Schizosaccharomyces pombe: one gene and its partners. The gene in region 2 interacts genetically with the main gene of each other region. Each region holds a gene or a part of one and is shown on either strand. Other genes may lie near its edges. The genes, in order: nnr2, SPOM_SPCP20C8.02C and SPOM_SPBC3F6.01C.

What was found.
Region 1: mutations in SPOM_SPCP20C8.02C (region 2) and nnr2 together harm fitness more than expected from each alone (negative genetic interaction), as found in Schizosaccharomyces pombe (one large-scale study listed by BioGRID).
Region 3: mutations in SPOM_SPCP20C8.02C (region 2) and SPOM_SPBC3F6.01C together harm fitness more than expected from each alone (negative genetic interaction), as found in Schizosaccharomyces pombe (one large-scale study listed by BioGRID).

The regions. Positions count from the first base shown.
Region 1 is NC_003421.2:1,435,282-1,446,292, reverse strand, and holds nnr2 (NADHX dehydratase Nnr2), read right to left. Parts: upstream 1,805-11,011; 5' UTR 1,641-1,804; coding exon 657-1,640; 3' UTR 411-656; downstream 1-410. Other genes in the region: SAGA complex subunit Spt3, read right to left, coding at 2,368-3,291; siderophore-Fe(3+) transporter Str2, read left to right, coding at 4,299-4,510, 4,623-6,204; histone demethylase Jmj4, read right to left, coding at 6,454-7,850, 7,894-7,918; rpl6 (60S ribosomal protein eL6), read right to left, coding at 8,553-9,140; apn1 (AP endonuclease, minor transcript), read right to left, coding at 9,644-10,370, 10,443-10,697, 10,958-11,011.
Region 2 is NC_003421.2:25,312-36,182, forward strand, and holds SPOM_SPCP20C8.02C (uncharacterized protein), read right to left. Parts: upstream 6,210-10,871; coding exon 5,874-6,209; 3' UTR 5,250-5,873; downstream 1-5,249. Other genes in the region: SPOM_SPCP20C8.01C (uncharacterized protein), read right to left, coding at 3,369-4,112.
Region 3 is NC_003423.3:4,180,423-4,191,433, forward strand, and holds SPOM_SPBC3F6.01C (serine/threonine protein phosphatase), read right to left. Parts: upstream 6,537-11,011; 5' UTR 6,473-6,536; coding exon 5,051-6,472; 3' UTR 4,177-5,050; downstream 1-4,176. Other genes in the region: sorting nexin Snx41, read right to left, coding at 1-66; cbh2 (CENP-B protein 2), read right to left, coding at 444-1,988; pho8 (alkaline phosphatase), read right to left, coding at 2,370-3,763, 3,898-4,102; erg26 (3 beta-hydroxysteroid dehydrogenase/delta 5-to-4-isomerase), read right to left, coding at 7,285-8,307; thioredoxin reductase Trr1, read left to right, coding at 9,545-9,545, 9,845-10,812. UniProt on the Schizosaccharomyces pombe protein: Protein phosphatase that specifically binds to and dephosphorylates the molecular chaperone Hsp90. Dephosphorylation positively regulates the Hsp90 chaperone machinery.

The DNA of each region.
Region 1 (11,011 bases), 1.4 Mb from region 2:
CTTTCTTTTTATCTCACATTTCTTTTTTTCAAATTAAATAGTAACATTTTTAATTGATAACGCATTTCAATATTCCATATTGTCAATTATGACTTTCCAAGAAGAAAAACAGTAGAATGAAAATACAACGTTGAGGTCAAGATAGGAATTGATTAATAATCTAGATATCTAAATCGTAGAATATTAGAATTTAACTATTATATGAAGGTTTGAATTGGTTTCCGAAGCTATTGTCGTGCTCATAGATACATCGTCTTATAGTAAAACTTAGGAACAATACTAATTTCCGTTAAATTTGATAATGTAAATAATGACAATTACGAATCAAAAAGAAGAGTCTGCTTGCCCTTGTCTGTTACAATAAATAAAAACGGTGACAGCTACATCAAATTTCCTCAACAACAATGATACCAACGACTATGCAATGTTTATTTTGAACATGGTTTTTAAAATTAAATACGCTATTTCATTAATAATCTGGTATTTTCGTTTCAGTCATTCCTAGTAACTAAGTTTAAGGTATCCCTTTGCTTGGGAATTTGAACCAAGACTTGAAAACATGGTAATAATGTCAATTCCAGGGAACAAACAAGCAAAAAAGTCAATTATTAGTTTAAGGGTCCTTTATCTTCTTGGTTTTTAAATATTATTTTTTTTTAATCTTTTATTTTTTCCTCGACAGACGGTATCTCATCCTCCATTAACGCATTATACGCTTTACCCACATGTCTGACCAGGTCAGTTGATTGAGTTGCACGACCACATTCCTTAAACGCCAAACGACTGCACCAGCGAGTACAGGCAGAGGCTCCAAATGCGGCAAGGAAGAGACATTCTTTAGCATCCATATTACCTTCTGTATCCCATTCTTTGCTAAGATAAGCATGTCTCCAAGCAAGGAATGTAGCAAGTATACCAGTTAAAATGTCACCCTGACCACCACAACGTTTAAGACCACCAGGAACGGAGCAAGCATATGCAGTAGCGCCATCGGAAATAATATCGGATTGGCCTTTTTGAATGATGAGCAAATTTAGTTTGCCAGCTAGCTGATTGCAAGCATCGGGTCCGTCACTCTTAATGTCAAGCTTGTCGCAAAGTCTTTTGAACTCAATAACGTTAGGTGTTAAAATTACATTATGATAACCCGAAACCAATTCGGGACGTTGTTGAATTAACCACAAGCCATCAGCATCGATAACCATAGGCATATCATTTTTGCGCGCATACTCAATTACTTTGGCCATAATCTCTTGCATCCATTCATCACGTCCCAATCCAGGCCCAATTACGATGGCATGCAATCTTCCCATCATGGGCTTTATAAGTTCAAAGCATTTATCGACACTATCTTCTGGTCCAGCTTTGTCCTTTTCACGTAAAAATGGATGAACAATCAGATCAGGAGAATAGCTTTTAATGACATTTGCAGCTTCTTTTTCACAAAATATGTGGCTTTGGTCACTGCCGAAGAGCATCGACGACATCGAAGAATAGTACGGAGCACCTGTGTAGTGCTGACAACCCCCAAAAACACCAACTCGACCGGCTTGACCTTTGTGGAAGGTATCAAGAAGTGGTGGAATGATGCGCTTCACACGAGTCAGCAAATTTGTAATTTTGGGAGATCCAGATGTCATGTTGTAATCTTGTTGAGCGAATTCTTCGGATAGCAAAAAATTATAAAGAATTACAATTATAATAAATCAAAAAGTCTTTAAAATTCCTGAATTTTGTATCTCTTAAGTACTGTGAGTGCTTCGGAATACGAATGTTCGGTTATTCTTGGAGTTGGCGTATGTATGATGTTAAGGTGGAAGGTATGATCAAAATGACGCTCAGTGATGAAGTTCAAATGTTCTCGAAAACAAAAAAAAAACGTAAAGAAACCCTTTGTTTTTTAAAAATTTCGCACTGACGATATCAAAAGGATGATCCCCTTGTTCATTACGAAAATCAGCAGTTTGTATAGAGTAAACGAAGTTTGGTAAGAAGATTTGCAAATATTCACAGATATCATGAGATTCCAGTATAATAAGAAAAATTTGATATTAAAAAATCCAAAAGTCCAAATACTACCACTGCTGCAATTAAGAATATCGCTTAGTGGAAAGATAGAAATAAAATTATGAATTCAATCGGAGATGCAAGACAACAGTCTAATGTGATGAAATATATTGAGTAGTTAATATCTCCATAAAGTAAAGGGGCTTTCGTAAGATCTAAACCATATTGTTTCAAGGAGAACCAGTAATGGGGATAATAACATATACGTACCTAGTATGGGTAATTACAGGAAAACAGGGCATTTAGATGTAAATGGAAGCCTTACAGCAATTAAAAAAAAAGAAGAGACAGTGAAAATGATTAGATAAGATACACACGAGATTTGACCAAACCCCCATGAAAACTGCGCATAGCAGTATGAGTTTTATCGGGGATTTGCAAACGACGAAAAGCTTCTAAAACATGAGAAACTTGAAGGGGAGTTCTCCCCTCAGTAAGTCCATCAAATAAACTGCAATTTTTCGGATGATGCGCTGCATGAGAGCCTCCACTACCCGAGCTATTTTGAATCCGATCCATTCGATCTTTCACAGCCAGTGCTTCCTCAGTTAAGGTAGCCACAATCTCAAAGGTCAAGAAGCCAAGTATATCTACAATATCATTATCAGGGCGAGTATCTGTTAGAATAGACATGCCACACCATTCACGAAATCGCTTGCCTTTTCGATAAGTAAAACTGGCTTGTCGACATTCACTCCAATGAACATACTCCTCACGCGTCATTTTCTTCGTGCGTTCATCTGCCATTTTAAGACGTTGTCGCGTCGCATATGCCATTTCCATCGTATCGTTATCTTCTTCAAACTCTTCTGTTTCCGGTACAGGCTCTGTAAACATATTTTTTACTTCCCAAGGCATAGCAACTGCATTCATTGACCTTGTTTTTGAATCTACTTCCTCAAAAAGATCTTTTGTATCGGCAGGATTGGCATCCTGCTCCTTCGCTTTCTTGCGCACTTCCTTCCATGACAGGTATGTCTTTAGTCGATTCACCTTTGCACGATCATGGCGAATTAAGAAAAATAAATCTTCCACAGTAATAGATCTTGAGCCACGTCGTAAAGCTAGCTCATTTGCCTGAATTAACATCTCCATCACTTGTCCACGTATTAGCTCTTCGACTAATTGTGTGGTTTCTGGGAGAGGATCCTGCACCTCCCCTAGAATGAACATCATTTGTTGAATTTCAACACGATATTTACTGGTTCTGCCAGTCTCAGTCATTCCGCATTGCTTATTTTTAACCACTTCCCAAAGTGGTGGGTAGTTGACAAGTTGCTGAACTCCAAACTGACAAGAAAAATATAGTTTCCAGTAAGAAGGACTAATTGATGGGGCATAAAGTGCTTTAAGTTGAAAAAGAAAAACCATTGTCAAACGTTTAGCTTGCAAAAAGCAAACAAATTTTATGAGAGCTGGATACACTATCCAAACTGCAAACCCAGTCCATTCTTTCGTTACAGAACATCCAGTACAACTAGTTAGTGAAGAAGTGTTATTAGAAGAGTAACTCCTGTCTTTTTTTGAAGCATAGGTTTATTAATTTAAGATTGTAAATGTTTGAAATTTTTTACCTTCGTAACTTGTTTACTTCCGTTTAAAGTAGATACTTGAGTAATCTATAAAGTGAAAAGCATCAACTTTCTTTGGTCTGAAACTCTCTTTTGCTAGATCATTCATCTTTGTTGCCATAAATGTAAACACCTTCTAATTATCAGCAATTTGTGATATTACTAGCAATTCTTTAGATTATGTTTTCGTGTTTAGAAGGATTTCATTAGTCTGAGTGATATTGCAATTTCTTCTTAATGCTTCTATTTCGAGCATGCTGTAAAATCGTCTGCTACCAATCTCTGTAATTTTTAATACTTCCAAAATGTTTAAGTGTGACTAGAAACTAAATTGAATACTCTGAACAAATGAATACCCTATTGAAGCCATCACTCATAAATTCGAGGAGTTAATTGCGGGAACATCAAATTGGCGGCTTAGCCTGAACCTCGGAGAAAGGGTCAAAGTGTAATTCTTCTATTATTTAAAAAAGTTTAACCGCTTCTTAAAGCAACCAAAAACCTCTTATTAACTAACTAGTCTGCATTTCATCAGTCTTTATTTATTATTGTTTACCAACTTCATTAAACATCTCGGTTAGATAAACTCTAATTTGCTATACGATCTGATAATTTGTGTTGGCGTACCTTTTGCATACTGCCATTTACCATACACTCTGGATGACTGAGAATTATGGAAGCATGGAGCATCGTAAAAAGAGTTTTCGTAATAACGAAAATTTAGAACAGCAATTTCATCCCCTTAGAGAAGAGCTTGATAATGCTGGACCCATAAATGATCGTACTTCAGAATTGTCACTAGAAGGTGTTTCCAAAGCTGAGGCAATTGCTTCAACATGGTCTAAAAGATCGATTATTGTTGCTTACCTTGGGTATGTTAGTATTGTAGTCATGATAATCCATAAATCACGTAGTGTTTGCATACATCTGTTGAATGTTTGTGTTTGTGGTATGATCAAGCTAACACAATGTCTTCTCTTTTAGTCTCTATTTGTTGTCATTTGCATCTTCATTAGAGCAGCAAACTACGTATTCTTTGCAAAGATACGCAACCAGCAACTTTTCCGCCCATTCAAACTTGGCTACAATCAATTTGGTGGGCAATATTCTTTTAGCAGTTGTTCGAGCACCAATGGTAAAGGCTGCCGATGTCTTTGGACGTTCGGAGAGTCTTAGTTTAGCATTAGGAATGACAGTGTTGGGATATCTTTCATTGGCATTTTCTCGAAATATTCAAATGTTTACCGTAGCATATATCCTCTATATATGCGGCCAAACTGGGCTAGGTCTGTTATCTCAATTAATTATTGCAGACACATCTTCGCTACTCAATCGGGGGATTCTCTCTGCTATCCCAGAACTTCCCTATCTTGCAACTGTTTGGATTGGACCAGTGCTTGCTCAAGCCTTTCATCCTGAGAAAAATTATGGGTGGAGATTGGGTTATGGTATATGGGCGTTCATTTTACCAACAGTTTCATTACCTCTCTTGGCTTCGCTTTTCCTAAACCAAAGAAAAGCCAAGGCTGCAGGTTTATATAGAGAACATCATAACTTGATCAATCATTCCACTCCTGAAAAACTTAGACTATTTTATTTGTTTTGGCAGGAATTGGATGGTCTTGGAATAGTGTTGTTTGTGTCTGGCTTTACGCTTTTGTTGCTGCCTTTTTCCCATTCGAGTCAGGTAGTTTCACCAGACTCAACAATTTTAACTCTCTTTACTATAACTCTCTCCATTGCTTTGTTAGTAACCCTATGCTTCTACGACGTCAAATATGCACGCTATCCCGTTTTCGCCTTAAAATCTTTGAAAGACCGTACCATCCTTGGTTCATGCGTTTTAATTTTCACATATTTCATGTCTTATTATATTTTCTCAAATTTTTTAACTTCTTTCCTTCAAGTCTCTTATGGATTATCAATTGACATGAGTAGCCTTACCCTTAATGTTTTTGTATTTTCAATGACTACGACGGCTATCCTGTCAGGTTTTCTCATGAAGCGGTTTGGTCGCTTCAAGATGTTGCTTATGATTTCTGTTCCTATGTACGTATTGGGGATTTTGGGTATCATCTTATTTGGTATTAACGATAACCACTATACCCGTCCCCTAGTTTTAGTGCTTATACTTGCTGGTATGGGAGGTGGGTTACTGACGTTAAGTGCGCAAATTGCTGTTCAGTCAGTATCGTCACATGCTAAATTAGGTATGAATCTCACGTTGTATTTAACGTTTTCTTCTGTTGGTGGTGCCTTTGGATCTGCTATTGCAGGAGGCGTATGGAGTAAGAGGCTCTCAAGTCGTTTGTTACATGACCTTAAAGATCATCTTCCTGTCCCAGAAATTGAATCAATATTCCGGGACCTACGAACTGCTCTGTCATACCCCCAAGGGACTCAAATTCGTAATATCATTAATGTTGCTTATACTGCCACCGAGAAGGATCTTTTCCATATCTCACTTGTTGCCTCTTTATTTATGTTTGCCGGACTTGTTATAATTAGAGATGTCCCCCTTTCCACTGAAAATCATGATACAGCCGTCGAAACTCCCTCAGAATAATTTACAATTAATTTTTTTAGAATAGTGAACCTAAGTATGCTATCCAAAAATCCTTCTTATCTTTATAAATCCCCGTTTTTATGCTTTCATTTTTCAATTGTCTTTCTTAAACGTACAAAAATTTCCAATTTTTGGGTCATTGGAGTACGATTACGACTTTTTTTTATATCATTAGTACAAGGGATTTTCAAGGGTTTGTATTAATAAATTTAAAATTATTCAATTCTAAATGTTTTATAAATAAGTGTTTTATTGACAAGTTTTCTTTTGAGAAGGTGAATCGTCTTCTGCCGGTCGTTTTTCGTTTTTCTTGTTAGTAGCATACAATTGATCAATTGCCTCTCCAACAAGATGACGCTTGGCTTGCCAAATGTTGCGATCCAAGTAGGGATGATCAAAGTCTTCAAGATTATCGGGAGGATGAAACCAATAATTAAATGCAATATGTACATCGCTACCTCCAGAACTAGCGCTTGAAGAGGTGACTTCATGAAACCAACTTGCTGGTAAATAAAGCATGTCGCCAGGTTCTAAATCCACCACTAGAGGAACTGTCCCCGCAAGAGCAGAAAGCTCATCTTTATCAACATCAACATTCTTAGCATCATCAAATCCCATGAATTTATGCAATCCATTAACACTCACCTTGGTAAAATGATCAGGTAATTCGGGTTTTGTATCCTGCAAACTAGTTGCTTCAATATCATTTCCTTCATTCAATAAAATATCACTTTCCGGATCACCGCCAACTGATCCGTCTAACAAGCTAGCAGCATCTCCTTCTTCTAAATCATTCCAATCTTCTTCAGGTCCGCCAATTTGCATTTGAAGAACTCTGTCCATCTCATTTTCATATTCAGCTTCCAATAGTTCGATACTTTCTTGAGGGACCGCTAGTTCTTTCAAAGAACCAATTTTTTTTTCTAAAAATTGTGTTTTTGCAATTGCAGCATCAAGCTCAGTGAGTCCATCGCTGCGCTGAGGGCAATCTTCACCTTCATAAGAAATTAACCCATTAGGGTGGATTTTTGAAATTTTTCCAGAGAGTTTAAGTTGATTTGCATGATCTGGTGAAATAATTACGAATCTCTTGTATCCGGAAATGACCGCATATATGTTATCGTGAAAATCATGGTGTAAACCGGAAGAAGTGCCGTTCTCACTTTTTCCAATCCAAAGATTGCATTGCTGGGGGACCAAATTGCCCATTAATGCCGGGGTTATTGAAAAGTCGGTAAGCAAACCATCAGTAGGATGAGGACATAAACTTTTAACAAGAAGAGAAACCTCATCATCTCCATCTAAAACCTCGTTGGATTCATCGTACTGTGTAGTCAAATAAAGTCGTTCACCATTTTTTAGTTTTTGAAAAAATTCTTTGATGGACATTTCATTTCGACTCATACCTTGTCCAAAGGTCCCAGAAACAGGATCGATCGGCTCAACCTTGCATACGATATCACCAATTTTAGAGAGCAAGTAATCCTGTTGCTGCCATAGGTAACCCTTCCAGTCAGACTCTGGTAAGGAGGATTTAATGATGACGGGAGTCCTGGTAGCAATGAACTTATCATAAAAATCTTTAGGTGTTAAATCGTTCAAGTTCTGGAGCACTGGAACCTTGTCTCCGTGTTTAGGCGAGTATCCTGCTTTCGTTAGCTCAGAGCAATGAGTCCTAATTTCTCTTACCTTTATAGGTTGATAATTCACTCATAATAAGTTGCTATCGCTCTGCTAACGACCATTTGAGAAATTTGCCTTTTATATGGCCGCTCAAAACGGAAATTGCTTTTCTATTGAAAATTGATGATCACAAATATTTATTTTGGGATAGTATTAATGCACTAAAAGAAAGTTATGTGCATACAAGAAAATTTAGCACAGACTTGAACTTGAATTGGATACAAGTTGTGAATGAAATAACGGCGTCTACAACATTTCCAAATGTAACGAAAAGCGATAACAAAGCTAAATCGCTAAACATATAGCTAACTACATTTCATATATATACTGGGCAACCAACAAACCACAGTTATATAGTTATTATACACCAAATTACATATACAAGAATCAGATCTGCTTCAGCGAAATGATATCAAATGCATACATTATACTACACTCTGAAGTCAATATGCTTTAACAATCAAAAAAATATGTTCAGTAACTACTTGCCAATTTTATAAAAATTTTAGATACATATGTGCAGTGCACTGCTCTTCTACTTAGCGCATGCATAACCAACTCGATGGAATCTTACAAGGGCCGGAAATGCCAAAGTTTCAATAAATAAGAAGTCCCGCAAGTGCCAACACAAAGATAGATTTACCTATTTACCTAAGGTTATGAATCTAAAACTTCATCAAGTGAGGACGGTCACCGTTAGACAAAGCGAAGGAAGCAGCGAGGTATTCCTTCATATTAGGGATAGCCTTGATAGCAGGGAGAAGCTTAGCATCAACGGCCTTTTGGTCAGCAATACGCTCAGCGGGAAGAGCGTTCTTGGGAGCGTTCTCGGCGAAGAAAGCTTCATCCTTCTTGACGGGTCCGCTACGCTTTTGCTTGGCAAAGTAAGCCTTGGTGAACTTCTCAACAGAGACACCGGAGACATCGATCTTGGGGGCAGAGGTAGCAATCACATAACGGTGGTTGACACGACGGATAGGGACACCGTTGACCTTGTAAGGGCCAGTAACGACAAGAGTGTCCTCCAATTGACTGAGGACAACAACACGCTTACCACGGAAGCGTCCAGCCAACAAAATGCAAACAGTTCCGGGTGCTAAAGAAGCACGGAGCTTGGTAGGGCGTACAGCCTTACGAGCCTTCTTGGGGACGTTTTCACGGTAGGCAGGATAGTATTTAGCGGCGGCCTCGCCGGCAGGCAACACCATACGTTCTCCGCCGTTCTTAGCTCCGTTGACCTTGACTGTAGACATCTTTTTATGCTTGGAGTTTTTGGGTGGTGTAGAGATTCTTCTAACATAAAATGAGAAATTTAGTGACTCCCAAAAAGAACAGTCACATGTTGTGTTAGCACTTTAGGGTAGGGCAAGGACGAAAGTTAGAGCAGTCCAGCACTGAACAGCGTTGCTCATGGGAAATGGTAAAATGATAAAATTATAAGTAATGTATCGTTATATGATTAAAAATTCCGTATTCCAGTGTTCGAAGAATATGGATATAATTGAAACAAAAAGATGCCTTTAAAGTAGTCAATTGAGCCGAAGTTGCTTTCGATAATAATTCCTGAATCAAATGATAAATACTGCAAAATAGGCAGTGTAAAAATGAAGAAACTGAGAACGTCATTTGTGCCAAAACATAATATAGTGGATAAAGGCAATAATAAAATGCTGGGAATGCAATTCATGAATCAAATTTTAGGATTTTTAAATCGTACCCTTGATTTATCTTTCATTAAATTGCATGTTACATGAATTTATTCATCCAAGCTCTTAACTTCTGCATTTCCAAGCTTTTGCTTTTTTCTGAGTAACAAAGTAGTTTGATCGCCATCCTTGCTTTTTTTCTTTCTATCCTTCTTTGCTTCTTTTTTTTCAAATTTATTCAAATGCTCCTTCCGGGATGCTGCTCCTAAATTGGACAAACGCGCTGATTCTTTCATTAATTCGACATCATCTGATGATTTACCTACCATAAATCGTAAAAGTTCAACCTCTTTCTTCCATTGCTCTGGAGATTTGGCAGGAGTCTCCAAAACTAATGGGATCCCATCCCACCGTGAATCATTCATTATTAGTCGAAAAGGCTCTAATCCTAAAAATCCTAAACCAATGTTTTCATGCAAATCACGATTGCTACCAAGAGGAGCCTTGGAATCATTTAAGTGCCATCCAGACACGTATTTGGCTCCAACCTTTTCGTCAAACTCGTCAATAACTTTTTTGTAGCTCTCTTCGGTGCGAATATCGTAGCCTGCAGCAAATGTATGACAGGTGTCCAAGCAAACCCTCCAACGGTCTAAGTTCTTAATCTTTGACTTTAAAGCTGCAAAGTCATCAAAGGTCCCTCCCAGACAATTTCCCTGACCAGCCATGTTCTCTGTAACTATAATAACGCTTTTGGTCTCTTCGTGCGCACGATTGATGCATTCTGCTAAGTTGTTGATTCCTTCTTCCTTTGTACACGAAGCAGTACTACCAGGACTACAAAGATCAAAAGAGTTAGTACGTTTTGGGTAAAATATAAGTAAATAGAGCACACTATGAATGACATACTGAAAATTGTACAAACCAACACCAAGTCTTTCACAGCGCTTCAGGTCGTCGACAAAGCAATTGAATGCCTGTTCTCTTTTCTGCTCATCGGCATTGGCCATGTTAATCAGATAGCTTCCATGGACAAGAACCTGTTTGCTCGCATCGAATTTCATTTCGGATGCTGTCTCCAAGAATTTTTGAGCAACATCCTCCGATAAATCCGGAGAGGTCCATTTTCTTTGTGATTTTACAAAAAAAGCACAACTATTGGCACTGATATAAAATTTCGTTAGCAGATAAGCTTTGTTTATTGCACACATCAGTCACCTCCTTCAAAATTATGTGAGAAAAGTTTATAGCATAAGCTATGGTTTTTGAAAACGACAAATAGACGTACCATCAGCAAATCCTCTAACAATTTGCTAATAACTACTAGTGAATCAGTTTGCAAGTCGCAATAATGCACGATTACGCCAAGCCTAACGTACACTTTCTCAACATATTCAAGCTGATTGCTTTAAGAATATACTTACTTGATATTTTTCATATTGATTAGAGCGTTAAAAACGCCCCCAGCTGCAGAAATA
Region 2 (10,871 bases):
GAGAGTGCATTGGAAAACATGTGGATAAAGAAACTCCTTTGTAAGAGTTGAGTGCAACTTTATTTTATCAATGATTTTATTTATTAATTCAAGTCTCGTTAGTTTGTTGTGCAAATTACAGCACTGTTTCTAAAATTCACAAGAAAATATCAATTTAGTATATTACTGAGTAATAGCGTTACGATAAAAACGAAACACTGTGTGTAAATTTTGTCTATAAGGACTTTATTTTATAGGTGTCACTGTGCAAAAAACTTTTAGTAGCAGTTGATTCATTTCCTCGTGATTAGAAAAATAAAATATGATACGTGTAAAAAAATCTATAACAGCTATAATAGAAAGAAAAGGAGGGGAAATTATAATTAGAAATGAGTAGAGAAAGAAGAAAGAGTCTGGTTATTGTAAGATACCTAAGAACTGAAACCTAACGAAAAAAGAAAAGTTGCATGTAAAGTCATTAAAGAATAAAACAAACCAGAAGTTATGATCGGTGATAACAAATTAGAAGACTGATAAATTTGGATATTGTTTCTTGGGTTATTAACGATTATATTGCAATAGATTAGTGAGACGATGATAGGGGTTATTAAATGCTTTAGGATTATGGGATTTATCAAATAAAAAAACGGTGCATGAAAAAATTTATTCAGATGATTATTATTAAGAGATAGGACTTTTAAAAAACGTTATTAAGGACTGGTTTTATTTGATGTATCTCGAGCATTAGAAATCTAAAAATTCGGCACACAAGCATAAACATAAAAAATCATATTCATCGTACAAAATTTTTGATTGTCATATTCAACCGTTGATTTTCTGTTATCAATTTGAGAAGTTGTGAGCAAAGTAGATAAAAAATGTCCTTCAAGATACATTGGTTTTCATTACAGTTATTTTTTATAACATAAAGATTTTAATATCATTGCGCTTACTATGGCCTCGATTTATTGACAAAACATTCCGAGTCGACTTTGCAGTATAGCAACGTATCAATGTTTTTGACAATGAACGATAATTAAAATTACCTTAGTTATCAGCTACGCAGTTTGGTATATGTTTAACAATAAATTTATTGCAATGAGTTTCTATTGCGATATACTAAGTGTGTTTAAACAATAGTGTTATATTTATTGTTAAAAAAATCCAATAGTATCAGTAACCGATCTAGAACTAAGCTGAGAAACGAGCTTCAGCTTTACTTCTATCTACGTTATTCTAATTACTACATATTTTAATAAGTTATCATTCAATTCTATCTCAATATCATATCATCTATGGTACAATGTGTAAATAGAACATGCGACATATAGTGATATGCAACGCAGTGTATTATCGCTAACAACTGTTACACCGTGTAGGAAGTACGTATAATTCAGGGGTCCACAATGTGATAGAAGCTCGTTCTTCTTAAGCGTTTCCACAATTACCCGTTTAACTTTGCCAACCTTGCAGCAACGGTTTGCCGATTTTTTTCATCAGAAACTAAATCCAAGCACAAGAACAGTTATGAGCACTTCTTTGGATGTCGCCACTCGAACTTCACACTTGCTCATGTTCTGATTTACTGAGGCATGGATTATGTCTCCACTAAATGACTTATATCATAAGAATTCATAATAAAATTAAAATTCAGAATAAGGATCAAAAGGTTTTAACCCCATTGCTTATTAGCACACCTAACTATTGTATGATTGACCGCCAATGTAAAAATGGCATTTAAGTTGAATTGTAGTATTTCTATCCTTATTATTTCACTTTCCTTCTTCTCTCTTGTTTCCACTTTATTAATCAAAAGTCAAATTAATTAGGCCGGGTTTCTTTGTGTTCGTTGCATAAGATAGTTGAGCTCAAAAAAATAGTTCCTTTTCTTTTTTCAAATCACGATATTTTAGAGCAAAAAATATCGCATCTTATCTGTAGGCTCATAATGCTGTTTCGCTCTTTCGGTTACAATTAGTATGTGTATTTCAAAAGTACCACTTTTACCAACTATTACATAACTACGCACGAATACAAAAAATATGGATCATATTTTACATAATTACCACCTATCGAAATGTGAACAAGTTCATAGGGCAAATATCCGTATTAATTTGGATTTATTATTTAGTACATGTTGTGGAATTCGTTAAATATTATTACTTTTTTTGCAATAAGCTAACCGATTTACGAAATTCTGGCCCATTTTAATTTCATGCTTTGCACAGTTATTAGTTAACTATCTGATGCATCAACTATGTACAATTTCCTTACGGTCTACAGTATCATTATGCGCAAGATTGGTGTACCAGGTATGTTACGAACAAACAAGGAATTGGATTAAAAGTGTGTTAGCACACATGAATATCTTTTCAAATTTTATATTCTCATTGAGCTCACTTACTACTAAAAGGGTAAATATAATAGTATCATAATGAAAGTGAAAGTATCGTTATCACATCATGGACGTCTTTAGACTTTGTCATGAAAAAGGAGAAGTGTTGATTGGTCTTTAAAAGGTTCATTTTTCTTTTTCAATTTCATTAGACTCTATGCAGGGATCTGAAAAAACCTAGTCATATATTTGTTTTCACAAAACCAACAAATAAAAAATTATAGGAAGCTGTATGCCAAAACGGATGAATTTCTTGAACGAAATAAAATATAAATTGTAAAATATTAGTTACAAAAAAAATTTATACTTCGGTGAAAAAAATCCGGTTAGCTTATTAGAGTAGTGATCGTCTTCTGTATTGTCAGCTGCAGGCACTAACCAGACCTTCATCTCATATAGTCCACAAAGATATTCCGCTAAATAAAGTTATATCTATCGCAAGGAAAGCTATCTGTACAATAAATATTAGCAAGTAACATTTATGGTAAAAAAATTGGGATTTGTTAGTTGTTGAATACAATTTGTAAAATAGTCAACCTTTTCGCGGACAAGATAAATTGCTCTTAATTGCAAATATACGTCTTTCACTATATAAGCTTTACGATAGAAGGGATCAATTGACATCTAATTATATAAAGCATCAATTTCATTAAAAAACGTTTATTAACACCGAAACATAAAACATCAAAGCGAAAATATACAATAAAATATCAAAGTATCAATAAAAAACGAAGAGAAAGCAAGATATTTGAACAAAAACATAAATTCAATGGAACTGATGAAATTCATATTCAGTACTCGCTTTTGACCATAAGCCTACTGCATCACGAAGTCGCTTTTTCAACTTAATAGTTTCAGCAGGACTAAACATTATACCATATCCCTTAAGATATTGGACACACTGTTCCTTTGATAATTCATCAATGTCTTCGACTCTTTCTATCGGCGGTAATCCACTATTAGCCGGCTCATTACCATTCAGAAATGGCACTGGTTATGCCAAATAACCTTGGTCTGAACGAGTTGTATTTTCAAGCTTTCTTGTCAACATGATCGACCTACATGAGCGAGCATCAATTGTTTCCATTTTCTGATCCATTGAGTCAAGTCGCTGCTCCATAGAATCAAATCTTCGGTCTATGGAATTAAATCGTTGGTCTATAGAATTAAATCGCTGCTCTATTGACTGAAACCTTGCTTCAGTTTTTTGCTCGAGTAAATCAATTCTAGTGTTCAAACGGATCGTTTCCCTTTTCATTTCAACCATTTCAACTTTCATTTCGGCCATTTCGCCTTTCATAGATGTCATCTCATTCTGTACAGTGTCAAACCGAGAATTCATCTCATTCTGCATAGCGTCAAACCGAGAATTCATGTCATTTTGCATTGAGTCCATTTTAGAAAATATTCGTTCGAAAATTCCACCTAGTTTAGTGTTTGCCCATTCATCTATCCAGCGTGGAAATTGTACTTCTCCCGATTGTTCTTCAGAAATTTCCCTTTCAATCGCTAACTTTTTCCATCCTTGTAGCCTTTCATTGCATTCAATTTCATATTTCATTTTACGATCTCGTTCCTCAATATATTTTTCAAGTGCTTCTCTTTTGTTTTCGTCAATTTCTAACAATGTAGAATCTACAGATCTCTCGTATCTTTTAATGAAAATTTTTAAATCTTCCGCAGAATCATTTGGTGGTGGCAGATTGTAGTCATTATCAAAATTCTCGTTCGACATCATCCTTATTATTTATACAAAACCAGTTGCAATAAACCGCAGTATTCTTTTTAACGATAAAATTGCAATTCACTATAACTATACAAATGATATCTTTTGTAGCCTGCCTTATATGTTTACTAATTGACAAATATTTCTCAGAAAGGGAAATCTTGGAAAATAAAAGTACAAACGTGTGTTGAAAGCAATATTTAATATATGTGTTGTAAGTAAATTCAAATCTCTCAAGTTCCCCTTATATACAACTTTAAACAAAGAATGCTAAGGACAAAGAAAAGAGTTTTTGATGGATTAAGAAACAAGGTAACCTAAGTAACTTCACATTGGGAGTACGTGATACAGATAATGAAAATGGGCTTTATCTGTAAAATAAAAGAAAAATGGCTTATTTGCAGGTAACTTATTACAAAGTTAGATTTATTGAATAGAGGAGTACATGTATAAAAGCAAACATGGCCAACAATGTTGATACAAAAAATTTCGTTAGCCTGGATTACTTTATTCGTTTCAAAGGCTGCTTAACAGCTTGTAGCAATCATAAGGTGTTTTAATCAAAAGCACATTACTCATTCAAGCTAGATAATTTGTAGATTGTATAAGCGGTAGCTACAATATATGCTCAAGGGATATAAACTGGTTATTGAAATAGCCTCTGCAAATTAATGAAAGAAACAAAGCTTAATAGAATACCCCCAATTATTTTAAGACGAAAGAGTTTTTTCACGTTCCTGAAACAATGTGTTTAAGAAACTCTCAAGCAAGTATACTTTCATTGAAATATACCTCTGCTGTTAAATAGTTACTATGAGCAAATATAATAGGTAAACTGCACAAAGCAAATACGTAAAAACTCCTACATAATACTTGATATGTACAATTGTCATTTAGCTTGAAAATGCTAGATAGAATAGAAACGCCTCTAAAGAAAACTATATTTAAATAAATTGAATAAAAAATAAAATGGCAAATTTGCCCATTTACGTAATGTTACACATTGATATCCAAAAGGAACTTTTATCGTACATAAACACAATTTATTTAATTTGGAAAGATTGAGTTTTGTATATTCTTGACTAACTATTGGTCTAAGTTGACATTTATTTAACCCATATTTATTATCCAATTACTCGCTTCGTTTTTACAAGTACTGACATCTCTTAATCCTGCCTATACCATTTATCCTGTGTATTATTCACTCATTTAAAATTAAGATTATTCTAATCATCTCAAATCGGGCGATCTCATCTGGTTTGTGAGTCGGACTAGTTCAACTTCATAGACCACTAAGCTCTAAACATGATCTCAAATAAAGTCACCATTTACTACCCTGAGATAAAATTGCTGGTGACTTCATTCGTAGGTATCATCAATGACAATATCTATAAATGGAAATACGCTATATACCTTGCGTTGCCTAAATAGCTGAGTACAACCTGTTGGACGACTTCTCTTGCAGTAGTCCGTAAACTTGGAATTGACTCCAGCTCCTTTAACTTTGCAGCTCCATTGCATTGTCTGTTCGGAACCAGCACAGTGTCCTTCACATCTCTCTACTAGACAACCTAAACTTAGAAAGCTTTGACCTCCTACTATGCAACTCCATGAAACTCCGTAGTTGTTGTCACAAACCAACTTGCTTGACTATCATCGACATATTTGTATTGAACATTGTACAGATGTGCTATCAACACACCACAAGAAGCAAGAGACACGGTTTGTCTCTTATTCGCCCCTTGTACATTGCAAAAGCTAATGTCCAAATCCTTAATCGATATACCTGGTTGAAGGATTGATATTTTCAGGTCCTTCATAAACACTGTCACCAAATATATAACAATCAGTGGTATACTGACCTGTTAGAAGTTGACATAAGTAAGCATCGGTATCAGTGTTTGTTTCTGTAATGCTATTTAATAAGTAGTTGTAAGCTTCAATTCGTACATCAGCTGTATCAAATAGCATCAGTCCATGTTGGTCAATTAAATTAGCAAGTAATTCTGCATAGTTGGGAGGCAGCTTAGCATAGTCAACAAAAGTCAAATTCACCTCAGCTAAGACAAGTTTTATGAATACACAACAAATACAAAACAGCAATAACATATAAGATCTGTCAGGTTCTAATGTTATATCTTTCTCCGTTTAGCTTATAAAACTAACCGAAAAAAAGTGTATATATACTGAGTTCTACCTTTAAATTAATTTTTGTAGTTGAACAATATTAACGGTTTGAAATGATATATTACATGATAATTGTCCCATGCGACTAACTCGGTTGTTGCCGGGGGCATTTGATGTATGAGGAGTCAGTGTTAGCTACGCGGTTTGGTATCTGTTTAACATACTTAGAACCGCGGTGAGTTTTCCTTGTGATCTATTATATTGCAATACACAGGTACTATATGTAGCAACTTGATATTGGTAAACACCAGCGCATCTTATTGTATCGTCTTTCTAAAACCAAACTGCGTAGAGGAAGAACACTGCCTCAGCACCTTTCGTTAAAATCATAGGAGCGCTTTTTTAACCGACTTGGAATTAGTTGGAATATGTTCAAAGCAATAATCTTTGATCTTTTCCTGTTAAACGAAAGGAAAAAAATTTCAACAATGAGTCAAATTCTTAGCAAAAAGCAGTTTTGAGTGATAATATAATTCCTTTCAATGTTTTGTTTATTTTTGTATACCCATGGGATGAAGGTTAAGAAACACCAGACAACTGAAGATAAAGTTAAAAACTTATTTTTATTTTATTTTAACTTTATCTTTAGAAAATTGACATAGGTGAGTACAGGTTAGAATAAGTTTCTTATATTTCCAAACTGGAATTATTTAATGCAAACATATAATGCAGTTATCTATTTATCTAAACATCTGCGCCACTAGACATTTTCATTGTTCTTACTTATTAAAGGCCCTATTTTTGTTTTCTTTTCTTTGTTTACCTCTTTTGGTCCTTTGCATGCTTTGTTTTCATTGTAGATAATGAGGGTTCCAAAGGCTTTGAAAATTATATATATATTTATACATAAACTGGTGTAACTTTGTAATTGTATTTTTATCTGGTGTTCTTGATCCTGGATACATATTGAACAACACGTTTAAAACACTCTACCAACTTTTAATAAACAGCGTTAACATTTACTAGAACAACACACTATATCTTTCTAAAAAATGACTACGCTCATTATTGATTAAAAATCGACGTCAAACGAGAATTTTGAAAATGGTTTCGACTTACCTCCACCAGATGATTCAGCAGAAGACTTGCAACCGTTTATCAAGAAATTCGAAAGATCTCTAAATTCTGCTTTACTAGAATTCGGTGAGAATAATCAGGAAACGATTGAAAAATTTTCGTCAAGCAAAGGAACATTAAATAGATTTGAAACTGAATGTGATCAAAAGTTGCGAAATTGGAAGAGATTGGCGATAGAAAGGGAAGTTCCGGAGGAACCATTGGGAGAATTACAGTTTCCACGCTGGATAGACGAATGGGCAAATACTAAACTAGGAGGAATTTTCGAGCGAATATTTTCTAAAATAACTCAACGCAGAATGACATGAATTCTAGGTTTGACGCTATGTACAATGAGATGACTGTCATGAAAAATGACATTGCTTCCATCAAAGGTAAAGCAACTACTTTTAAGAACGAATTAACTGCCATCAAAGGTTCTATATCTCAATTAGATAGAAAAATCGATCTTTTGGATCAAAAAACTGAAGAAAGATTTAATAATATGGCTCAAACGATGCAAAAAATTGATGATCGTTCTTGCAAGTCGATGATGCTAACAAAAAAATATGAAAATATGGTCCGTTCAAATATGCATTATTCGGCTGTTCCAGTACCATTCCTTAACGGAGATGAACCTAGAGACTATGAACTCCCACCGCTTGCAAGCTTCGAAGACATTGATAATTTGACAAGGGAACAGTGTATTCAGTATCTTCATGGGTATGGTGTTTTATAAATTTAGTCCTCTTGAGACTGTCAAGTTGAAAGAACGGCTTCAAAAAGTGATTGGCTTGTGGTCAAAAGGACACGTGCCACACAAGTATCACACATTTTAAGGAGTCTGTATTTCTATATCTTTTGCTGCTTTATCTTCTCTTAGTAGAAGATTGTTTTTTACTTGTCCTTATTATGATATTTATACATCACTTTTTCGCTTTTATAGTCAGTAGTAGCTCTTCTCTGTTGTAGCTTAATATAATATGTGTTCGCATTATTACCAATGGGGCTATTCGAAGTCACCACCTCTGACGACTTGGTTAAGAGAGTAGTGAGTGGCAGGATAAGGGTCTGCTTCTGTAATTGATTAGTGCTTCTATAGCAAAAATACACGTTTTATCAAAAGGAAGCAACTTTGGTTTGCTAGTCCGTATTCATCCTCATTGACTGATAACATATTGAATATAAGCACATCTCCGCTAACTCTCATATTACAATGAGCTAAGATCCTTGTGGTTACAGTAACATTCAACAGCTTGAATAAATTCATATTCGATGTATTGAACCTTTAGGAACTTAGATACAGAAAACGATTAAAAAAGCACTTTGTAACGATCTAAAATTCAGAATAACTATCCTGTGTAAAGTTATATTTGGGAAATAGCTCTACAACATTTTAATCTCTAAATAATCGGTATCTACGTTAATAGATACAGTTCCATAGCTGTTAGTGAATTTAAATTTTACTAAGATAAACCATTCAAAAAGAGTGCATCAGCGGTAGGAGTCATTAGAGGGAAATTTTGAAAATGGTTTTCTCCCCTGTTGTAAAACCTTGAGATATTTTATCTATCGAACTCATCCTTTACATCTTGACTGATAAGGGTTCCAAAATCATTTCAACTGTATCATGAACCAACGAGGTATTCGGTTTTATTCGTATCACATTTGCAATGCCCGTTCGGTAAAAGTCGATTTCATAATGTTAATAAAGAAAGGAAGCCCAAAACTCACTTTTGAGCTGAATCGCGCCTTTTTCGTACTTCTTCATACTTCGTTTATACAACAAACGAATTACTAGTATAAATAAGCTTGTACTTGATGTTAATCCTCACCATCGTATTGAACGTGAAGTTTATGTTTAAGTAACACATGGAAATGAAAATAAGCGATTTAAGCAAGCTATCGTCCATCAAGATAATGTCAAATAAAAATGAAAAGTTGGACTTTGATTTCGCATAACAGTTAGAATCCTAAACAAATAAGCATGGAAATAAATATCAATATGGCTTATATTGCAAGAAAAAAGTCTCTATATTTGCATGCTCTTTAATCATTGCTTTCCGGGAATTATTTACATTGATTTTAGTCTCATATACTCAAAATTCTATTGTATCTTTCATTTTCTTCCAAATAAAAATGAGGTTGTGGATAAATAATTTGTTTGAGCAATTAAAAAAATAGATAGGTATCGTTTAAATTTCTGTAAGAGTGGGTCATTATTTGGTCGGTAGCAGTTTGTGAAGATGTTTACAATTTAGAAAATTTCATTTAGGCTACTCAACTTATACAAGCAGTCCCCTTATTTGTGCTGAAACAATAATGAAAATTATAACATCGAGTCTAAGTCATGCTTGACAATGTTTTGTTTGTGTTGAAATTAATAGGAAATAAATTGAAGTTGATGTACACAATAGAAATTCGCTTAGGTTTGCTTAGGTTTTTTAAGGTATTTTCTAAAATTTTAATTTTTTTTTTAAAAAAAAAAAATACAAACAAATTTATAAAGAACTCACTTATAGCTATCATATTGATTAAGAAGCGCAATGAATCGTATTTAATTACCAGTATTAAATTTAATTCAAATTAAATTTTTTCAAAGTTTAACCTAGCAAAACTAATTAATTAGACATCCACCCTATATGTGATATTCGCATAAATCAACCACATTAAGCTACTATCTCTTCGTACGTCTACCCGATAATGGTGTTAAGCATATTTTGGGATTGATCATAGTGTTTAGCAGTTTCTATCTCATATCATTAGATAGCTACTCAAAGTTTAAATTAATATATCTGAAGTAGAAATTTTATAGTTCTTATCTGGCTTTTAAGAAATAAAATTTTTAAGTGTACGAAAACAACCTATGCGCTTCTCTGTTGTCAATATCCAGTTATAGAACCATAAATAGAAATTTGACAGATTTAAAGGTATTTTCGATCAGAATTTTACGTGTAGCACGACTGATTATACTATCATCCCAAAATAAAACGACAACATTTTGGATGAAAGGTAGCCAAATATATATTATTCATGCTCAAAGTTATCTCATCTTGTCTAAATGCATACACCAGCAGATAATCTCTTTGGTATTATAATCCCTTTTCTTCTTTTGAAAAGTTTAGAGCTACTATATAGTATATACATCAAACACTAATTTCAATTGCATGCCGTAATTTTTTATATCGTGTTCCTCGATTCTGTGTATACCGATTGGCACATGCGAGACAATCGAAATTATTATTATTTACTATAGTACTTATAACTAGTTTAAATTAAATTCACTTATATGGGACTTTAGTTCGTTCGTTATTTAGTCAGGCAGATGTCAGAAGAAATATTGGCGTGGATGTAAACTTCATACTACAAATAATTCTTCAGAAGACTTTATACCTTTCAGAAAAATAAGAATTGAGAGACCTGCAAATTTTGTTCCATTAAATTTTGATAAAATATATTGAAGGACAGGATCGGAAAAGTTGGTAATTGAAAGAGAAATTTCCGAGCAGAAGTATAATATTCACAATG
Region 3 (11,011 bases), on a different chromosome or scaffold from region 2:
GACAGCAGAAGAGGCGCTTCTGTTGTCAGAGCCAGAGAATGGATTATTATCTTCAAAAAAATCCATTCAATTGTTTCTCACAACGTCCAATTTCAATTGCAATGCTGAATAATGGCGTTTGGAGTTGACAAGTACAGACAGTCATACTGTGTTGATTAATGCATTGCGCTATGCTTATTTTTCGCAAAACAAAAAATTTGTCCCAATTCAATTTCGTAATTTAAACAATTGATTCTTCACTTTATTATTTTATCAATATATCTTATTGAGTTTATAAACGCTTTTAGCGCGAATCTCACATTAATTGAAATAGTACGTCTAGTAGTTAACCTTTAAGAATTCACTGTAATTATTTATCTTTCTTATATTCTATAAAAATTATTTAAAAGTATAGAAAATGTGTACATTTTCGTTAGAAACAAATTTTCCAATTCCCACAACCTTTACACAATCGATCTGCTTTCTAAAACCTTTTGAAACTGAAGTAATGTTCGAGTAAACAAAACATTTCCATCTTCCGATTGCTCTTGAAAGTTTAGTAAAGTATTGATGGCATTTATCGCATCCTTTGTTGATAACAAATACTGTGACTCTTCCTCTTCTTCATCGGTTTCAAACTCTCGTTCATCAAGAAATTGAGCAGCAACTTGGTTAACGATATCGTCATTAGTGTCAGCAGAATTTTCTTCAATAGGGTTAATAAAATTTTCGATTTGGAAAATATCCTTATCACCAAGGTATTTTCCTATCAATTCTTGCAAATTCACCGCGATTCTAATGGTTTCTGGAGAAGGACCGGTCAGTGGTTGCTGATTTTGAAAAAGCCCAGAACGAAGGAAACAATTGTATATTATAGATGGTTCAAAGTCAACGTTCCAAGAACGAATCATCCATCTAACTGCTTTTAGTACATTCATTGTCTTACTGGGGTTCTTTCCCAATCGAATCTCCTCAAGCATGTAATTAAGCCAGTATTTTCTGTAGTATGATTTAAAAGCGTAGACTATCTCTTGGCCACAAGGATGGTAAATTTCTGTAGAATTTACAGGAAGGAAAACAACAGTCGTGTTTACCAACTTTCGCTCGGAATTGCGAATATTTTCCAAAGCGCATTCATGAGCGACAAACTTATCCAGTATAAGTAGAACTTTCCTACCCTTCATCAAATCGTCAAACCAACGAAGCCATTCTTCCATAATGGAAGTGGTCATCCTAGCGGTTCCATTATATCGCCAATGAAAATCCATGGAATCAGGATGAGCATTTGCTTGCCGAAAGGCCCTTGGACTTTTAGCATATCCAATCACCCAAAGAGGGGCCTTTTCAGAACCTGTAGCATTACAACAAATAGTGACGGTGACACGAGCCTTATCTCTCGTAATTCCTTTTACTCGTTCACTCGCAGGAGATTGATTGGGAATAAGTTTCCAGCATAGCCCCGTCTCATCCATATTAAAGATGTCTTTTGGATCAAAAAGACTTATTAATTCCTGTATTTGAACCATGTTTTCCTCATACGTTCCTTGATTTACTGAAGTAGATTCACCCTGTAACTTAAGGCCGTGTTTTAAACAACGCTTTTTGAACTTCTCTAACCAACCGTTACTAAATTCTGGAATCGGAAGCTCAGAGTACTCCGGTATACGTCTCCACAATTCTGCGGCGCTTTTTTTGATGGCGTTTCCAGTAATTGCTCCGTCTTGTTTTTGCAACCTCGTTTGCCAGTCAATAAGGGCGTTTTCTAAGATAGGATATTTTCCTTGGCGGTTTCTTCTTATTTGAGAGTTTTCTGCGTCTAGATTATCTAAAAATTCGTTCTTTGATGATAGAATTGACGAAACGGTAGATTGTGCTAGCTTTTTATGAAAGTGCTCCTCGAACCAACTAATAAGCTCTTGTTGCGAAGGTTTAGTTGCTGACTCAAAATAATGTTTTCTAATTGCTTTTTTTTCAGCTAAAGTCAACGCTTGACGCCTCAATGGAGGCATTCTCTCAAGTTTACGAAAAAATCGTTGTAAGGGAGGTAATCGCGGCTGTCGTGGATGATATGGATGATATCCCGATATGTTTGTGATATTTGATATATTAACGTGTTTGTTATTATAATATTATTATAATATTTTCGTTATGGATATGTTAACTATCTTTATTGCGACAAGTTGTATGTATAATTGTAATATTCGTTTGCTCTTAAATCGCAATTGTTGGATATCTCAACCACAGTGGAAATTAAATAAAGTAAAAGATAAGAAGTAAAATAGGTTTAACTTAAAAAGAATTTGAATGCCATAATTAAGCGATTTAAATAAGCTGAGCATATATGAGAGTATTCTAAATTATATATTTATGGCAATCTTGATTAAAAGGCTTTAAAACAAATCAGCACCGAAACCTACAAGACGATCGGAAAATGAAGTTTCCACTAAACTAGGTCGATCTGGGGCACCATGTATGGGAGCATCTTTGAGCTTTTCAGTTACATCGCTTAGTGAAACATTTAAGTATATCTCCATAAACTGTCCAATTTCAATGTTCTCCATATTTCCTCGAAGATGTTCAGTGACCTCTCCTACTCCATAAACGTTTACATCGACAGCAGTATGGCCGTGAGTGGTCCAGCCAATTTGTGCTTCTACACTAACAATATCACTAAGCACGTTTATAAGATTAAATATATTATGCCGGGCCACGTATATGTCATGAATCTGCTTTGGATTAGGGTCAGGAATGCCAATTGCGGGTAAAACAAACTGTTCAATATAAGGAAGCAACGTATTTTGGTTATGGTTCACGATAGCTGAAGCGAGATATTCAATAGAATGGAGAGCAAGAGATAGGACTTGCGGCTTCCATAAATACTCTGGATATTTTTTGGAGACCTGGCGACCAACAGTCAAACCACCAGTTTCATGATCCGATGTAGAGATTAAAGATCCTCCATTCTTTTCTACAAATGCACTTGCTATTTCAAAGGCCCTGTTGTATTCCATAACTTCGTAAACATGAGCGATAGGGTCATTGTTGTGAGAGGCCATGTCAATTCTACTCCCTTCTATGAGCAAAAAAAATCCTTTAGATGTATCTTCATTAGTGGCGTTGAGCAAAACATCCAAAGCCGTCTCTACCATTTCAGAAAGCTTAGGTTGCACTTCAGGCTGATAATCAATATCATAACTGAGATGATAATCAGAAAACAAACCAAGCAAAGGCAATTGAGCGTTTGATAGCTCATCAAAGTCAGTTCTATTAAGCAAAATTTGGAAACCTTCTTTTTTCCTAGCATATTTCAAAAGATCCAAGTTATCGGATCTACATGATCGATAAGTAGATTTAGGTAAGAATGAACAAAGTCCACCACCGAACAATAAGTCAACACTCCTTCCCAAAGGTCCCATCCCGACTTGGTACTCAGCAATTAAATCTTGCATGAATCGATTCGCGGCATGAGCAGAGAAAGAGGCAGGTGTAGCGTCGGTAACTCTGCTTGTGACAACAATTCCGGTTAAGTAACCGGCTTCTTTAGCAGCCTCTAAGATAGTTCCACAAGGTTTTTCATTATCCAAAACACCAACAGCTCCGTTGTAGGTTTTATTAGCACAAGAAAATGCGGTTGCTCCGGCTGCACTATCCGTAATCAAACTCGAACTGGAACGTGTCCGTGAACTGCCAATTAAATGCTCATCCAAGGGAAGCCTATAACCCTCTTTATCGTTTAGAGTCTCTACAAACGATCTAGTCATAGACAAAGAGCCAGGTCCCATTCCTTTAAAAAAAGTCAGTCACCGAGAAATATTGTAAAAAAAAGGAAGATTCCGTCCCAGTGCTCTAAATATAAAAAAAATCATTTTCCTTCAAAAGAGCAACGGATTTATGAGAGAGCTTACTCCAATCACTTACCGTCAGAAACCATCATAATAACAAATTTTGGTTTCTCATTGGTCCCTTTGGACTTATGAGACGAGAAAAAATAAAAAAATATAACGGTTGATAAAACAAGGATTAACAGAATTCCATGTTTTATCCAAGTTTTCCAATTTCTACGAGAAGGGCTCTCCGGACCCTCGCCATGCACTGGCAGAAGAGGATCGCGCTCAGATGCCATTGAAAACTATTTAAACGGTAAAAATTGAATATCTCTAAAAGAAGGGATGTCAAAGGGTAAAGATCGTTTCAACGCGTATGACTTGTTGATGGATAGTACAAATTTTTGGTGTTGAAACAGCTCAACCATACATTGCATGACGTCATGGTTTAAAGTATTAACTCTCCATGTCGATCCTCGCTATCTTAAATCTGATATCGGATAGTATATGCACAAGTTAATCGAGAATGGCAATTCACCAAGTCCACAAGAAATAGCGTGATGGTAAAACTGTCTATATATACATGTAATATCTACTGTCAAATGCAAGTAGCTGTTGAAAATATTAGAATCAGCTGCTGACATGAAAATCCCGTATATCCAAAATTCGATGCAATTACCTTTCGACTATTATTGAGATCTTGTCATTAACGAAAAAAAATATATATAAGCAAATGAGTTGTGAACAGAAAATAAACAAACAAGTAAAGGACTGAACTGTTACTTGAAAATAAAGTACAGTGTTTAAAGTAGAAGACACATTGATGACTTATGATGGCAGTGAATTTTGAGGGTAATAATAATAAGAAGACAGCATTTTAAATCAGTGCGATATTAAAGGATCAATTGTTTTATTTACTTCATTGTTCATATGAACTTAAACATTATTTATATTTTTATTGTACAAAGAACGTGAAATGGAACTTTTGGAATAAAGAGTAGCTAATCAGGAATTAACATTTGGGAATTCCTAACCATCCAGGTATCGAAACCAATCCTTAAGCTAAAGATTAAACATACAAATAGCATTATTTTTTTGAACGACGGTAACTTCATAAAAACCCAAACAACCAAGTCTTCAAAAAATAATTTAACTGGATCATATAGCTGTGGAACAAATTTTTTCAAAAACCAGAAAATTAAAAAAATGTGGGTGCAAACACTGAGAACAGTGCTTGCAGTCTCCCATCACATACCACTTAGCAGTCCATTGGCATATGCCATTGGGCGAATGTTAGGATGGGGAACGGCTTCAAATTGGTGGAAATCCAACTCCATGTCTTCCTTAACTTTAATTACGGCACCAAGATTTCCGGTACTATCACAATAATTAGGAGCACTAAACACAGTAATACAATAACCATCGTGCTCAACTTCGTAGCCTTGATCTCTGACTTCATGAGAACGGATCACTGCTTTAAGACCATTAGCCTCGCAAAAACGTTTTGAAACATCAGGGCCGAATTGTAAACCCACCCCACGTTTCGATGGTCCTCGTCCTGGAGCAGGTTGTGGATCGGTCCAAAGCATTTCCATCATTAACCCAGATTGTCCAGGTTGCTTTTTACTAAATCTATCAATGTTTCGTAGTTGGTCTAATGTTACGTTATCATCAGAAAATAGGCCACCATGTACAACAAGATAAGAATCGGAAATTAGGGAACCAAGAGGTAGCAGAGAAAAAGTTTCCGAGAAAATATTAAATGTCCTCTCATTATACTTACTACGACATTCACCTTCGAATCCGTAGACTTTGTTCATATCGTCAGTTTCGTGATTACCGCGATTGATGAAAACAGCGTCCGGATATAATAACTTATATGCATAAAGAGTAAAAGCGACTTCAGTGGACCACGAACCACGATCGACAAAGTCACCATTGAATAAATATTTGTTAGTAGGGCTTGGAGGACCATGAAGTTTGAAAATGTTTAACAAGTCAAAATACTGGCCATGGGTGTCACCGCAGATAACCAATGTCTCATCCCCTTTAACAGGAATGTCAATTAAAGAAGGAGTTTTTTCAAGTAATTCTTTTAAGTCTCGCAATATGCTATATGCAAATTTTAGGGGGAGTTTTTTACCTTGGCAAAAGCGTTCCTTCATGTCTTCAACAAACTCTTTCGTTATTTGCTTTTCTAATATTACACCATCATAGTCAGAAGGAATGTCCATGTCTTCAATGTTGATATTCGCAAGTGGTGAAGGAGGTTCAGTATTATGAATAGCCTCCTGAAAACGAATCCTTTTGACCAATTGCTCACATTCACGAAGCTTTTTACGAGCAGCTGGATCACTGGGTGCTAGTGCCAATGCCTTTCGGAAGTCACCGACAGCCTCTTTGGGTTGAAAAATAGCAATATGAGCAGTAGCTCGACGAAAATATGCCTTTGCATATTCGGGGTCGCATTCAATAGCTTTGGAAGCATCATTGATTGCCAGACCATAATCCTCTGACTTTAAATGTGCAAGAGATCTATTGGAGTAAAGAATTGCGTTTGTAGAATCAAGCTCAATGGCTTTTGTATACAAATCTATAGCTTGAACGATATGTCCCTCTTTTAGAAACTTGTTGGCTTCATTTTTTAATTCCAATGCTTCTTTAGCCATTTTATTGAGCAAAAAGTACAAATTCAAGCCCTTGTGAGTTTTTGTTTGGTGGTTGATAGTAGCTAAAAAAGTTTTTATCTGTCCGAACAATGCAGCTTAATAATTGGTAGTATTGGGCTACAAAGAAACAGATATTTAGGATTCTCAAAGATCAAAATGATATTTTTAGAACAACAAATTAATGGCTTTATAAATGCAAACTTTGCAACGCAGCATACATATTAAAAAATAAATACAGAATTTACACAATGTTTTACATTAGAAATCTCAAAAACTTACAAGCGTAATAAAAGCAGTTTCTATGAAGTGTGTCTATTCATTTATCTACGAAATAAAATGACTCGAAACTTATAATACATCAATACATCTCAGATGAGAAAAACTTACAAGGCAATCATTATGTAAAGGAAATAACCATTGTTTTCTAAACACAAGTGATACCGGACAATCTTCGTATAGTTCAAAGAAAGATAACAAAAGCAAACGAGCTGTATCCTTCTCGTCTCAAGCACAACGAGTAGAAAGTACAAAGAGAACGTTATATTGATGTTATTCGATCTTGTCTATATTCCAAGATACCCAAATATTTTTTTTTCCTTTTTTAAGATCTGAGCAATCATCTATCAAATGAAATGATGATATAAGTCATTAACAATTTCCAAAGCGGAAAAAAACTGTTTCGTATCGACATGCTCAAGAGGTAGAACTCATCGAGAAGAAAGTGAACTATGTAGAAATGAAAAAAGACTACGAAGCGTTAGAATTTAAAAATTAAATATTCTTTTAAAGAATAACAAGGCCAATGGCTCAATTTAATGTTTTTTCTCAGTATCCATCCAAGCCAAAGTACGACGAATTCCTTCCTCCAAATCCACAATGGGATGGTACTTCAAAACATCTTCTGCCTTTTGAATGTTAAAGTAACGGTTAGCACAACTAAATTGGACACGGAAACGTGTAAAGCCAGGTTCCTTTTTCAAGAAATAACAAACCCATTCAGCAGCAGTGGCTAAGAGCATACCCACCGGTCTAGGGAATTTGATGATATAAGGGGGAACGTGTCCTGCATGTGCCCAAATAGCACGTGCAAAGTCCCAAAAGTAAATAACCTGTCCATTGGTAATGAAAAAGACTTGGCCATTGGCAGTAGGATTACTAGAAAGTAAATTGTCCATAGCCAGAAGATGAGCATAGGCAGCGTTTTCGATGTAGGTAAAATCAAAAAGATTCAAATTATCACCCAATTGAAATTTGGTTTGTCCATTCTTTAAAACAGAAAGCATACCAGGGACGAGTTGGCGATCACCTGGACCAAATAAACCAGCAACTCTAAGGGCAGCAGTTTTTAAAGATTCAGAACTTGCCTCCAAGACTTGTTTTTCTGCCAAAGCTTTGGACTCGTTATAGGCATCCATATGAACTTCTGGGATGGGCTGGGACTCATCCACATTGATAAGGTCAGCACCATTGAAAACTACACCTGCGGAACTAGTATAAACAAGGGCATCAACATTAAATTTCTGGCATGCTTTGATGATATTCGCTGTGCCATCTACGTTCACTTCAAAGTAAATATCACGAGCAAGGTTATGCACAGGTGAAGCAGTGTGAATAACTACGCGTGGATGAAATTCCTCAAAAACACGCTCAATATCACCTTGTTTCGTTAAATCACCCGTATACATGGTGAATTGACCATGAAGCTCGTGTAGCAACTTTTCATTTTCAAAGAGATCAAATGCAGCAATTCGAAGATTTTCACGTTCGCACAGCTGCCGTATGATATGACCTCCTAAAAATCCACTTCCAATAACTAACACGGAATTCATCGGCATTAAAAAAATACAAGAATAAACGATTGTCTGGTTCTTGCCAGGTATTCGACGTTACACCATATCGAGAAATGAGTGAGCTTATTTGCTACCTGTGTTTTTGGGGTGTAGGCTAGATGCAATACACTAACCATGATTAGCGAGAAAGAGAGCAGCTGTTGAATATGGAACATGGGTTAGAGGATAGTAGCCGATTGAAACTCTATTAGTACAATATGTAGTACGCACTTAGAAAACAGAAAAATTAAGTGAGTAACATCTCGAGTACCATTACAAGAAAACGATGACCTCCCGACCTCGTACCGTTCACATCTAAAACTGGCCTATTGTAAAGCAATGCTGCGTGCTACCTTAAAGCTCGATAATGTTGATAGCAGCCAAAACCCAATTTTCGTACTTTCTTCGTTGAACGTTAAACCAATTTATTATTTATAAATTCTATCGTTATACCTTTTATCAAATCACAATATTCAGCGTAAAACATTTTTCCTCGTTGGTAACCTTAATAAATAAATTATTAAGCAGTGTTGATCGCAGGAACAGCAAATTTTTCTTTTTTGGGTTGTAAACGACTAAAATTTGTTTCCTTGAAATTACTTTTCGCAATTGTTTTTTCTAGGCTACACCAATCGCACTTGAATCATACTTGTTTTTGGTTAAAACCTTAGTAAGGCAAGTAGCCCAGCACGGCTACATTGAGAATTTTGCTTTCTGCGCGTCTCTTTGACAATTTGTTTGGATTGTGGAGGCTTAAACTCTTAACTAACAAAAACGTGGATTTTTCTTGTCGAGTTCTTTCTATTGTACTAGCATAGGTCAGTCGTCTTTCATGTACAAAGCGTCGCTTACTCATGGCTTTGGTGGTTCGTCCATTTATCGTGGCCTCACTAATTCTCGACATTCCTATACCCTCTTCTACCATGTTGGCATTAAATTTGCTTACGCGATATCGGTGTCTCGTTCTGCCACTGTTAATCTAAGCGTTCGCACTTTTACGAATGTCTCGAACGAGTCTCATTATTCATCGCTAGTAAGCACACCATTTCCCAGGGCTCTATATAAGAATCAATTTACCCACTACCACCATATCGCATTCCTTCGATACTTCAGGACATTCTTTCCTTATCAGAAATTTAGCTTCTATAAAGGCATACCCGATTCTTTTAAGAAATCTTTGAAGTTAGGATCTATTTATTCCCCTTTAAAACAAACATATTTCTCTACAAATACTCATATCAATAGTAAGTGAAACGAAAAACGTGCAGGAAATGTGACGGCGATGAAGTCGAACCCAACAAAAAAAAAATTATTACCTAAAAATAAAACTAATTCGGTGATGAATTTTTTTCTTTTTTTTTGTTGATTAGTAGGAAACTTTTTTATTTCCGAACTCACGTGTAAGATTGGGTTTCATCTGTTTTTTTATCATTGTTCGATAATGGTTATCTTGTGTTCTTTCAGCTTTTCTATCCTTCTCGCCTTACAACATTAACGTTTATCTTTTTTTGTTTTGTTTTTTTAATTTTACTGACTTCATTAGTGACTCACAACAAGGTTGTTATTATTGGGTCTGGTCCCGCCGGCCATACTGCAGCCATCTATCTCGCCCGTGGTGAGCTTAAGCCCGTAATGTACGAAGGTATGCTTGCCAACGGTATTGCTGCTGGTGGTCAGCTTACTACTACCACCGATGTCGAAAACTTTCCTGGTTTTCCCGATGGTATCAATGGTACTACCCTTACTGAAAACTTCCGCGCTCAATCTTTGCGTTTTGGAACTGAAATTATTACCGAGACTGTTTCCAAATTAGATCTTTCTTCTCGCCCTTTCAAGTACTGGTTGGAGGGTGCTGAAGAGGAAGAGCCTCATACCGCTGACAGCGTTATTTTGGCTACTGGTGCTTCCGCTCGTCGCCTTCACATTACTGGTGAGGATACTTATTGGCAAGCAGGTATATCTGCTTGTGCTGTATGTGATGGTGCCGTTCCCATTTATCGTAACAAGCCTCTTGCTGTCGTTGGTGGTGGTGACTCTGCTGCCGAAGAGGCCCAGTTTTTAACAAAGTATGGTAGCAAAGTTTATGTCCTTGTGCGCCGTGACAAGCTTCGTGCTTCTCCCATTATGGCCAAGCGTCTTTTGGCTAACCCTAAGGTGGAAGTTTTGTGGAACACCGTTGCTGAGGAGGCCCAAGGCGATGGCAAGTTGCTCAATAACCTTCGTATCAAGAATACCAACACGAATGAAGTCTCTGATCTTCAGGTTAACGGACTCTTTTATGCTATTGGACATATCCCTGCTACTAAGTTAGTAGCTGAACAAATTGAGCTTGATGAAGCCGGTTACATTAAAACTATTAATGGAACTCCTCGTACTTCAATTCCTGGCTTTTTTGCCGCTGGTGATGTTCAAGATAAGGTCTTCCGCCAAGCCATCACTTCTGCTGGAAGTGGTTGTCAAGCAGCTTTATTGGCTATGCATTACCTTGAAGAATTGGAAGATACCGATTAGAACTAATCTAGAATAGTTACTGATTCCCTTTTCCCTTTTTGGTATTCATATGCATTTTGTATGCTCCTTTCCTTTCTTTTGTTTATCCAATAATTTTAGGAGTATCTTATCAATTATTGTTTACTATAGATACATGGCTTTTTGATTCGTAGTTATTTTTACACGAAGAGCAATAATAATGATTGTTTCCCTTTTTCTA